Drosophila melanogaster: one gene and its partner. The protein of the gene in region 1 purifies or fractionates together with the protein of each later gene. This does not show direct contact. Each region holds a gene or a part of one and is shown on either strand. Other genes may lie near its edges.

Evidence for each region.
Region 2: the proteins of dpr13 (region 1) and cDIP purify together in Drosophila melanogaster (affinity purification with western blotting; 2 studies listed by BioGRID). This does not show direct contact.

What each region holds. Positions count from the first base shown.
Region 1 is NT_033778.4:18,004,750-18,009,946, reverse strand, and holds the start of dpr13 (defective proboscis extension response 13), read left to right. Parts: upstream 1-2,044; 5' UTR 2,045-2,798; coding exon 2,799-2,913; intron 2,914-3,951; exon of another isoform or gene 3,952-4,552; intron 4,553-5,197.
Region 2 is NT_033777.3:21,158,639-21,163,106, reverse strand, and holds cDIP (common Dpr-interacting protein), read left to right. Parts: upstream 1-2,014; 5' UTR 2,015-2,052; coding exon 2,053-3,717; 3' UTR 3,718-3,869; downstream 3,870-4,468.

The DNA of each region.
Region 1 (5,197 bases):
AAATAAAACGTTGACTGATTGTGCCAATAAATGAAAATAATGACGCACCATTGACTGCAAACTGGAACCGACGAACGGGCAAACTCTGGTCGAACTTTTTCCCTAAGTTTGCGTAGAGACCCCCCAACGAAAAAAAGGACACGAGAAGGAAACTTCTTGCCCGTCTGGACTTCTTTCCCTGCCGACTTTCTTCTGCCTTTCACCACAGCCTTTTTTGCCTGTCCTGACGAGTTTATTTGCTTGAGCAGCGTTAACTGATTGTCTGTGATTTTCTTGTTTTTAGATAATGAAAGCTGCAGCAATCTGCGGCTGCGGGTACATAAAATAAAAGCAAGGCACCCAGCAAGTGTAACTTTTTATGTGCTCAGGCAACAGAAATCGCCGGCCATTTATACGGATACTGGGATACTGGGATACTAGGAAACTGGGCGGCCAGGGAGATTGAGTGTGGGTCAGTGTGCCAGATATCGAGTGGAACGGGGAAGGGCAGGGGAATTAACATACACGACTAGATGTTTGCGGGTCAGGTTTTCATTGCCTGATATATGGTTATGATTTTCCAACGGCAATTTGGCCAGAAGCTGCGACTATTTGTCTTCTTGGGTATTAAATTTGGATGGGCAGCAGAACATCGAACTCATTAAGTGAAATATTAGAGAGGCGTTCGATTTTAATTATTCAAAAGATCGCAAAGAGCTATGTGAAAGGAATTTAATGCATGAAAATTATTTAAAATAAAAATGAACGAGATCTGTATTCTTATTAAACAGTGGTCCATTGCATTTGACTTGACTAATATATCTGAAGCATGAAACTCAGGAATTTAATCTGCAAGACACTTTCCCGCGTTTTAGCTCAGCATTTCCCCGGTTTTCCTTGTTAGCCAAAGAATTCAAGCGGAATGTGACATTGCAGCTGGGCAGATGGCGCCTTCGACGCGAAAATGCTTTCACAGCCTGACAAGGTCTAAAGCGTGTTAGCCATTTATTAGTTCGGATTTCTGGCTAGCCCCAAAGTATGCAACCGACTTCTGCGAGCCCAAACGTGGCCAAAAAAAAAAAACCATGAGCTGGCTGAAATGGAAAGTTAAGTTCGCCCAGCTGAGGGCCCACAACTTGGTACCAACTAATTTCAGCACAATAACCCAAATTGAAGCGGTTTGCTGATGCTTTGTTTGCACCCGATTAGAGCCGAGACGCGTGACGAAGGTGCTTTCGTCACTCGGCGAAATGGCTGCACAAAATGAGAGAGCGATGAAAGCAGGAAGGAGAGAGAGAGTCCAACTATGCGCACAAACAACAAGGAGAAAGATAGAGAGAGGACCGGAAGTAGTGAGTTTGCGATAAATGTTTGCTATAAAAATCGTACCAGCTGTTCACTGAAGATTGACAATCCTAGAAGCTGTTTGAAAACAAATTAAAATTTCAATATATGCACTAAAAAAATTTAGTTTTTTTTGGCATAAAAAAATTTAGTGTCGGTATATGTAAAACTGTTAAGTTGAGCCTTGTTTAGGCAAATTAAGGATACCTAAAAGTTGAATGTGTTGTTAGCCCTAAATCATCTAATCATACACAATTAAATGAAATGGTAATCAAAAATATGGCAAGGATTTAAACCAAATTTAATGATATATGAAACATAATAACCTTTTAGCTTTTACCTCTTTTCTTTAAGTTGATATAATAAGGTTAGCTGCATTAGTTGCAATGTAATATATGTGTTAATAGAACAAGTGCTTAATAACAAAAAAAAAAAACTATAGTATTGATTGCCTTAAACGGAATAGTTGATATAAATTGAAAGGACTGGGTTTCGGTTTCAAAGGACCAATTAAGCAAACATTTCACGCGAACGCAAGATGCTATAAAACTTGAGAGTTTCCCCAAAAGGAAAATGAGAGAGGCAAGTCGAGAGAGAAAGAGAGAGCCAAGCGCACGAAGTTCGTGCAGACTTTTCCGCTGCTGCTGCTGCTGCTGCTGCCACTGCCACTGGTGATGGTGTTGCTACTGGTGTTGCCTGCTTTTCCTTGGGTCCTCGTGTCAGTCGCGTGCGAAAGCGTAAAGTAAACAGACAGGCGGCTAAAGCGGCAGAAGGAAAAGCAGCGAAGCGCTGGAAAAGCAGGAAAAAGCAGCAGCCGTGCAACCGAGGGCCAAACAACAACACCAGCGGCTGGCAGGCGAATTCCCACGCTGCTGCTCAGTCAGTTGAACTTTGACCACGGCGGTAACGGGTTCGGTGCGGTGCAGTGTAGTTTCGGTGCGGTCAACGCGGCGTATGCGCAACGTACATGCAACGTGAGCGCTTTTTTTGCGAAACTATAAATGATGAATTCCAAATGTGCTGGCATATGGCTGCCACGTGCCCCCAGCTAAAATGTGACTAAAGGATTACAAAAAAAAAAAAACGAGCAAGTCAAACAAAAAGCGAAAATGAAACAATGCAAAAAAACGCTTAATTAAAATATGGAAAGTTAATTGCAAATGGCGCTTAGCAATGTGGTCACATCAAATGGGCATAAATCAACGCAGAAAGTGCATTTAATTAGGCTTAATATAAAGAAAACATCAAATAACCGAAAAGTGTGGGCCTAAAAAAATAAACAACAATTAGAGCAGGGGAAAAAACGTTTTAATTAATGCAATGTCATCCAATTGAAATGCAAGTGCAGTGACAAATGAAATCAAATTAAAGCTCTGATAAATTGAATCACAAATGCAAAACAATTGACAGCTACAACAACAAGCGGAAAATAAGTGCAACATCCTCAGCGACACACAGCAACACAAAGCAACAAAATGCCGGCATCAAGTGGATTATATCGCATCAAAAATGGCCGTGTCCTTGACAGGCTGCAAAAACCAGCGGCACTCATTTTTATAATAGCATATATTGCGGCATGCGGCATTTGCGGTAAATATCACACACAGACATTATGACTTTTCACTAAAACTAAAAATCAAATAAAATCCCACATAAAAGCGAGGCGTAGAAATTACAGAAAAATAATGACGCATTTAATACTTTTTCATTTATTTATGCCGTTGATTTTTCAATTTGCATTCCGCTTATTCTGTACTGTTCACCGAACACGATTTAATTCAATTAGCGTCGCTGTAATGCATGAAATATTGTCAAAAGACAAATTGGCGAAATATGAAATTAAATGTGGCAAATATCACGGACGAGCCGCAACAAAGGCCACGAGATTGCCCAAGTCGAGAAATCGTTAATTTGTAACATTTCATTGCCGATGTCGAGTGCAGTGACAGGTCAGGCGATGAGCGCGGAAATCACCTGTGCATCACCTGTCAATGGCTGACACCGCAACAACGGCAATCAGGGGATTCCCCTGCGCCAAACGGCAACAGCAACACTTGTCTCTACAACTGAGCTCACTGAAAGCTGCCCCCTGTCGCCATTTCTCTCCATCTCTTTCGCGCCCTGCATCGCTATCTCTCTCTCTCTCTCTCTCTCTGTGTCTGACTGACTGGCTGACTGGCAATTTGTCAAGCAATCAACAAAGCCAGAAATTGCCCGGCAATAAGACAGAGCGAAAGCGGCAGAACGCCAGTTTGTCCAATCGGGAAAATGTGAATGCGAATAAACCTATTGAACACGCCAAAAGTGGTATAGAATATGCACTGCGATAAAAATATGACACCAGGAACTATCATAATCATCTCTAGTTGCATTAGGTATATTATGTTTCTAAACTATGATTTTTATGCAGGTGTAATCCTTTTGACAATCTCTTTATTCCCTTTTCAAGCTTTACGCATTTTAAACAAAATATCTTTATGAATATTTAAAAATATACATATAATAAATAACATATAGTCAATCGTTATATATAATAATTTAAATTATATTTTTAATATGCAAAAGCTGACTATGTATTCTCAAGAACTATTAGTTCTTAACTTACTTAAATAGTTACAATATACAAAAAATGTGCCTCTTATAATGTTTATAAATTGCTAGTTTATTTGTAAATAATGTTTATTTCTCGAATGCTTGAACGCAACATAAAATTTGGTCTTCAATTTAAGCGATTTTTCTCGCAGTGATTGGTACTCGACTCCAAGGAATACCGATATGTGGAACTAGTACACTGCTTGTGCCACATTTTGTGCGTGCCCCGCGTCGATGGGGGGAGAGGGTGTCCGTAAAGTCGTTGCTAAATAACAACAACAATGGCATAAAAAAGTGCCACGTCTTCACACACATTTGCACGCGCACACACACAGTGGGGCCCTGGGGCAACGCACACACACCGCAGCAACTGCGAGTGCTACTGGCGACTATCTAGCGCATCCATTGTTGCATGCCACACACCAACACAGGCCTTTTGGGCCACACACTCCTGTCGCTGTCGTTGTCGTTGTCACTGTCAATGCTGTAATGAAAAATGCACAAACACAAAAACGAAATACGAAAAAAACAAACAGAATCCAAAACTGCAACTGAAAATAGAAATAAACAGAGGCCGAAATAAATATATTCAGAATGCACGCCAGCTTAGGGCGATGAGTAAAAAAAAATAAAATAGACAAGCAATTTCAGCTGCGCCTGCCGCTTTTTATTTGGACCGCATTAATATTTAGCCAGCCACATGAACGTGCCTAGATATACATTAAGGCTCATATAAATCAATATTTATGCCAGCGGTGCATGTCTGTGGATCGAGCCATGGGATTTTTGAAGGCCAGCGGGGTCGCAGCAAATGCATTACTAGTCGCTGCACCCAAATCCGCAGCTCAATGCATCCAAATATTTGCATAATGTAACCAAAAAATATAAAAAAAAAATATATTTCTCCACTGCACTGCAGGCTATATGCTAAGCAGGGCGACCATGTCACTTTGGGGGCCAAAAATGTGCAGCTACCCATTCCCCATTTGAATGTTTTGGTTGTGAACATCGATATAAACATGGAAAAGATCGAGCGTTGCTAAAAAGCAAAACGACCAAAATATATGTAAATACTCTGTACAAATATTCACTTATTCAATTATTCACAATGCTTAACAAGCGGTTTGTATGACATCCCGTGTTGGTCATCTAAATAAGGTGTATTGATTTTACTTAAATATCTTAATTCCGGATGTCAGACTTGATATTTCATAAGATATATATCATTCACCTTCTCATATGCATTTGGTTTAGCACATTTTGTTTAAGAATCGAAGAATAA
Region 2 (4,468 bases), on another chromosome or scaffold:
CGTAGCAAAAAATTGGATATTATTTATAAAGCCATAGTTATTGAAAGCATTTCCGCCTTAGAACAAATTTACAAAAGCACTTGGACATAAACTTGCCAATTTGAATGGCAATTAGCTCATTTTCCAGTTATATCACCATCTAGTTGCGTCATCATTGCAGTCAGATGGGTGGAACAACCTTTGGATATCCTGAGCATTTAGCGTTCGAATGACCAATAAACCCAATGAAATAAATCAAGTGCCATAAACCGACGGCGCCATATAAAAGCACCCACAATAGAGGCGTAAAATGGTGCGCTATATGTTCTGATTTAATATATTTCTATATCGCATTTGTTTACACTGCTAAACTATTGGGCGAATTTGATTTGAATAAAGTACAGACGGCGGGGACAAAGTCTCGACAGAATAAAAGCCTGGTAATTTTCACTCTTTGTTTTTTTTTTTTTATTTCTCGAAACTTGTATGCAAAGTAATTGCGGCAAATTGAATTCAACAAAGGGGGCACAGGCGAAAAAGTGAAAAAAAGACGCTAAACGAAGTCATGCCGTTTCAATTGAGATACAATACACAGCTACAATAGATACAGATACAGCTATGGCAAATGCCATGCAAAGAACAAAAGTCGTCTTGAGTCGAGTAATTTAAAAGCCATTGGCTCATAATAAGCCCAATGCAAACAGGCAGATCAATTGTGAATACATAAAGTGAAAAAAATTAGCCATCGATATTCAAATTGTTTGTTTGCCCAGGCGGCCAAAGCCGAGAAAATCCCAACGCAAACGAATGGAAAATTAATTTTTAACATTTCAACAAGCGTATAAATTTGTTTGCATACAAATTAATAAGGCTCTACCTGTCATAATCTTTTTGTTTTCGCCCGCTAAGCTGCAACTGGCAAATTGAACGACTGAGAAAGCAGGTTGAACGTGTTCTCAAAACCGCTGGCATGTTGGCTAAATAATTGGCTAAATATTTTACACATTTTTCCACTGGACATGTCACCGCTTCGCAGGCGAAAGTTCTGGTTTCGCTATATTTACGAATGTTTTTCGTGTAAAGGTGCCTACATTCTTGCCTGATTGCTTTAAAAATAAGACTAGGAATAAATGCAGACGACAAAGTAGTTAACGGAAGTTCGTTTGCTCTTATCAAACCGAAACTCAAATGCCCTCCACTGAATTGTTCGCCTGATAAATAATGAGTCATTCGGGCAATCATCAGCAAAACTACACAACGCAAGGCAGTGCCAACAAAATGCTAAATGGCTGTTGTGTAAATTATATAGAAGGTATTTTAAGCAACGTTTCCACGCGCCTATATTTTCGATGGTAAAAGCCAAAGATGGATGGGCCCCAATGAAAATACTCTTACATAAAAATGGGCGAATGTCTGGCCTCATGTCCACTATCAGCAGCCAAAAGAGATTTCCACCTTTTGTTCAGCAAATCGCTAAGTAAACACTTCATGATAAGAGAACACACTGGAAATGAGTGGGAATTGCTCCACAGATATTGTACAAAGTTTTGTTTTTTTTTTCAAAGTCTGTGAGTTTTGAATGGAGCCAACAGAGCGAGAACTTCCATAGAGCAGCAAAAAATCATGAATAATAAACGGAAAAGCAGCACAGACAAGTGTCAAAATAATGATAGGTACAAAAAAAAACAAACCGATTTTCATCTCTCTCGTACAGCAAAAGATGTTAATTTCTTTTAAAAGGAGTTCCCAGACAAATAATTGTAATTAAATCTATTAATTAGTCAGCAGTGATTTCCAAAGCATCTCAATTCTTCGAAATAGAAATAGTATTTCAATCCGATTTCAAAAAAAAGAAAAAAACCCTGCCTTACATTTTCGAAATGCGCTGTACCCGCCACAGATGAACCATATTTATTTTCGCAAAATCAGAACACCATGAATAGAATGGGATGGCAATTATATAGAACTGATGATCGTTATTTGAGCATTATAGAGGAGCTTATCTGGCCAGGCGTTTGGCGGTCAACGTTTGGAATCAGTTTCAGGTCGAACGTGAATCGTGGAGCACGCCAAATGTACGTCCGGAATTGTCTGCCGTTCCTCTGCAGCTATTTGCTGATCTCATTGGCGGCCACAGCTACTACGGATGAGGACGCGGATGCTGATGTGGATAGTGGCTCATCCCGAATAGTGCTGGTCTCCAGCTTGGAAGGTCATTGCCAGACGGAGGGCAAGGTGACCAGCTGCAGGGGCTTTGAGTTTGCGGGAGAGGACGAGAAGGCCACCTTTGATCTGCCAACGGAGGTGCGGATTGCCGAGGATGGCACCACCTACGAAGTGGGCGATGAGGAGCACTCGCGAACCCTGATCTTCGAGAACTGCACCTTCACCAATTTTCCCCTGCGCTTATTTTACACACTAGAGGTCAGTGAGCTGGACATGCGCGGCTGTGGCATCCGCTTCATTTACTGGGAGAACTTCTCCATTGGTGCGGATAAGCTGGTGATTCTTCTGCTCAGCGATAATCACATCGAAGTGCTGCCCACGAAAACCTTCAGGGGAGCAGGAAACTTGGAGTTTATCTTCCTGAATCGCAACAAACTAGGCAAACTGCAGGCGGGTGCGTTTGATAATCTCCTGAAATTACAGTACCTGGATCTCACAGAGAATCGCCTGGAGGCTTTAGCCGCGGACGTATTTGCCGGACTGAAGAGTCTGCGGCACGTGGGACTGGCCGGTAATCAACTGACCACCATTGAGAGCGATTTATTTGCCCACAATCCGGACCTTTTGTCGGTCGCAATGCAGAACAATCGACTGCGAGAGGTGGGCGAGTATGCCTTTCGATCCCGCGGACGACACCATCAGATGCAGTATGTGGATCTATCGAATAACCCCGAGCTGGTCGTTCTACTGCTGAACATTAACGCCACCAATTTGACCGCTCGCAATTGCTCGCTGGACCGTGTCAATTTGTACGGATCGGTGACGAATGTCGATCTGAGCGACAATCGCGTGCGCGAGCTGTACTTTCCCGCCTCCGAGGCACTGGAGCATTTGGTGCTGCGCAACAACTCGCTGGTTCAGCTGGCGTCGTTGAGCCGCGTGCCCAGACTCCGGCACCTGGATGTGGCGGACAATCCGAACCTGGGTCAGTTGCCCGACGGTTGGCGGACGCCACATCTGGAGATGCTGGTGCTGCGGAATACGGGCCAGATGGAACTGCCGCTGGAGGCGTTGCAGGGTATGCAAAATTTGCAGAAACTTGACATATCCGGCAATAATTTGACGGAAATCGATCCATCCGCGTTCCCCACGCTCACGCAACTAACGCACTTCTATATTCATGGAAATAACTGGAACTGCTTCAGCCTGAGAAACATAATGGATGTGCTCATTCGTGCCAATGGCATTGCCTATACCGTGGATAACTACGATCCCGATTTTCCGGGGGAATACTTTCACGGAATAGCCTGCATGTATCGCTTGCCCGAAAAAGAGGGTGTGGACTCCTCCTCCTCTTCGGAAATCTCCGCCAGCGTAGAGTCCTCGCCCATAACAAGTAGTTCTGATCCCAGCGAGGTGGACAAACTGCGCGATGAACTGAAAGCAGTGGTGCAGCACTTTGATTCCAAGTTCGATTTGATATTCAGTAAACTGGCCCAATTGAATGAACAAATTCAGGCCTTTGAAGTGCTCAACAAAACTGTTTGGAGTCAAGTGACCTTGTCCGTTTGAAGTTGTTAAATATGGCCCATTTTTTATGTGATCACTACATTTTCAAAGCTTTACAATTATATGTATACATTATAATTAATATTTGAAGTATTTCCTAAAGCTTCTTAATTTTAAACATAAAATCTTTCGATCCAATAAATAAATCATTTTTTAAATTGTTGGAAGAATTCCACTAAAGAATTCGCGTGTATGTTTTTTTTACCAGTTCTTGATAATATACAAAGTTGGAACCATAATCTAACAAAACAGGAAGGCTTTTCGTCTTTGTTTAAGATTTAGTTTCCTAGAATATCATTTTTTTCTACGCCTATTCAATTCCTAATCTCGAAAACAATTTCTGCTCCATTTCCCTGCTGATTTTGCATACTCAACCCCAAAAAACCAATACAATTTGCAACATGAGCACATCTAGTAAATATTTATTGCTCGCTGTGTCGTATACGTAGAATAATATTTAAACAATAATATTGATTTTCGAGCAAAGCAAAGTTGGGTTCTTTTTCTGAAAGATATTGAAAGAGGTTCGTTCAACTCGGGCTGGCGAACCAAAATGGAAAAACGAGAAGAAAACTGGAGGGCGAAGACAAGATGGTGGGGCTCGGGGAACTTGAGTTGAATTGAACAAAGTCAAGTCAATTACAAAACCAATATTTTCGGAAACTAAACAACAATATTGAATTCGATCGAATGGACCAGAAACCGAGTTATTTTATTGCCATCTGCTAATGCGAACAGTTTTAATTATTTATGC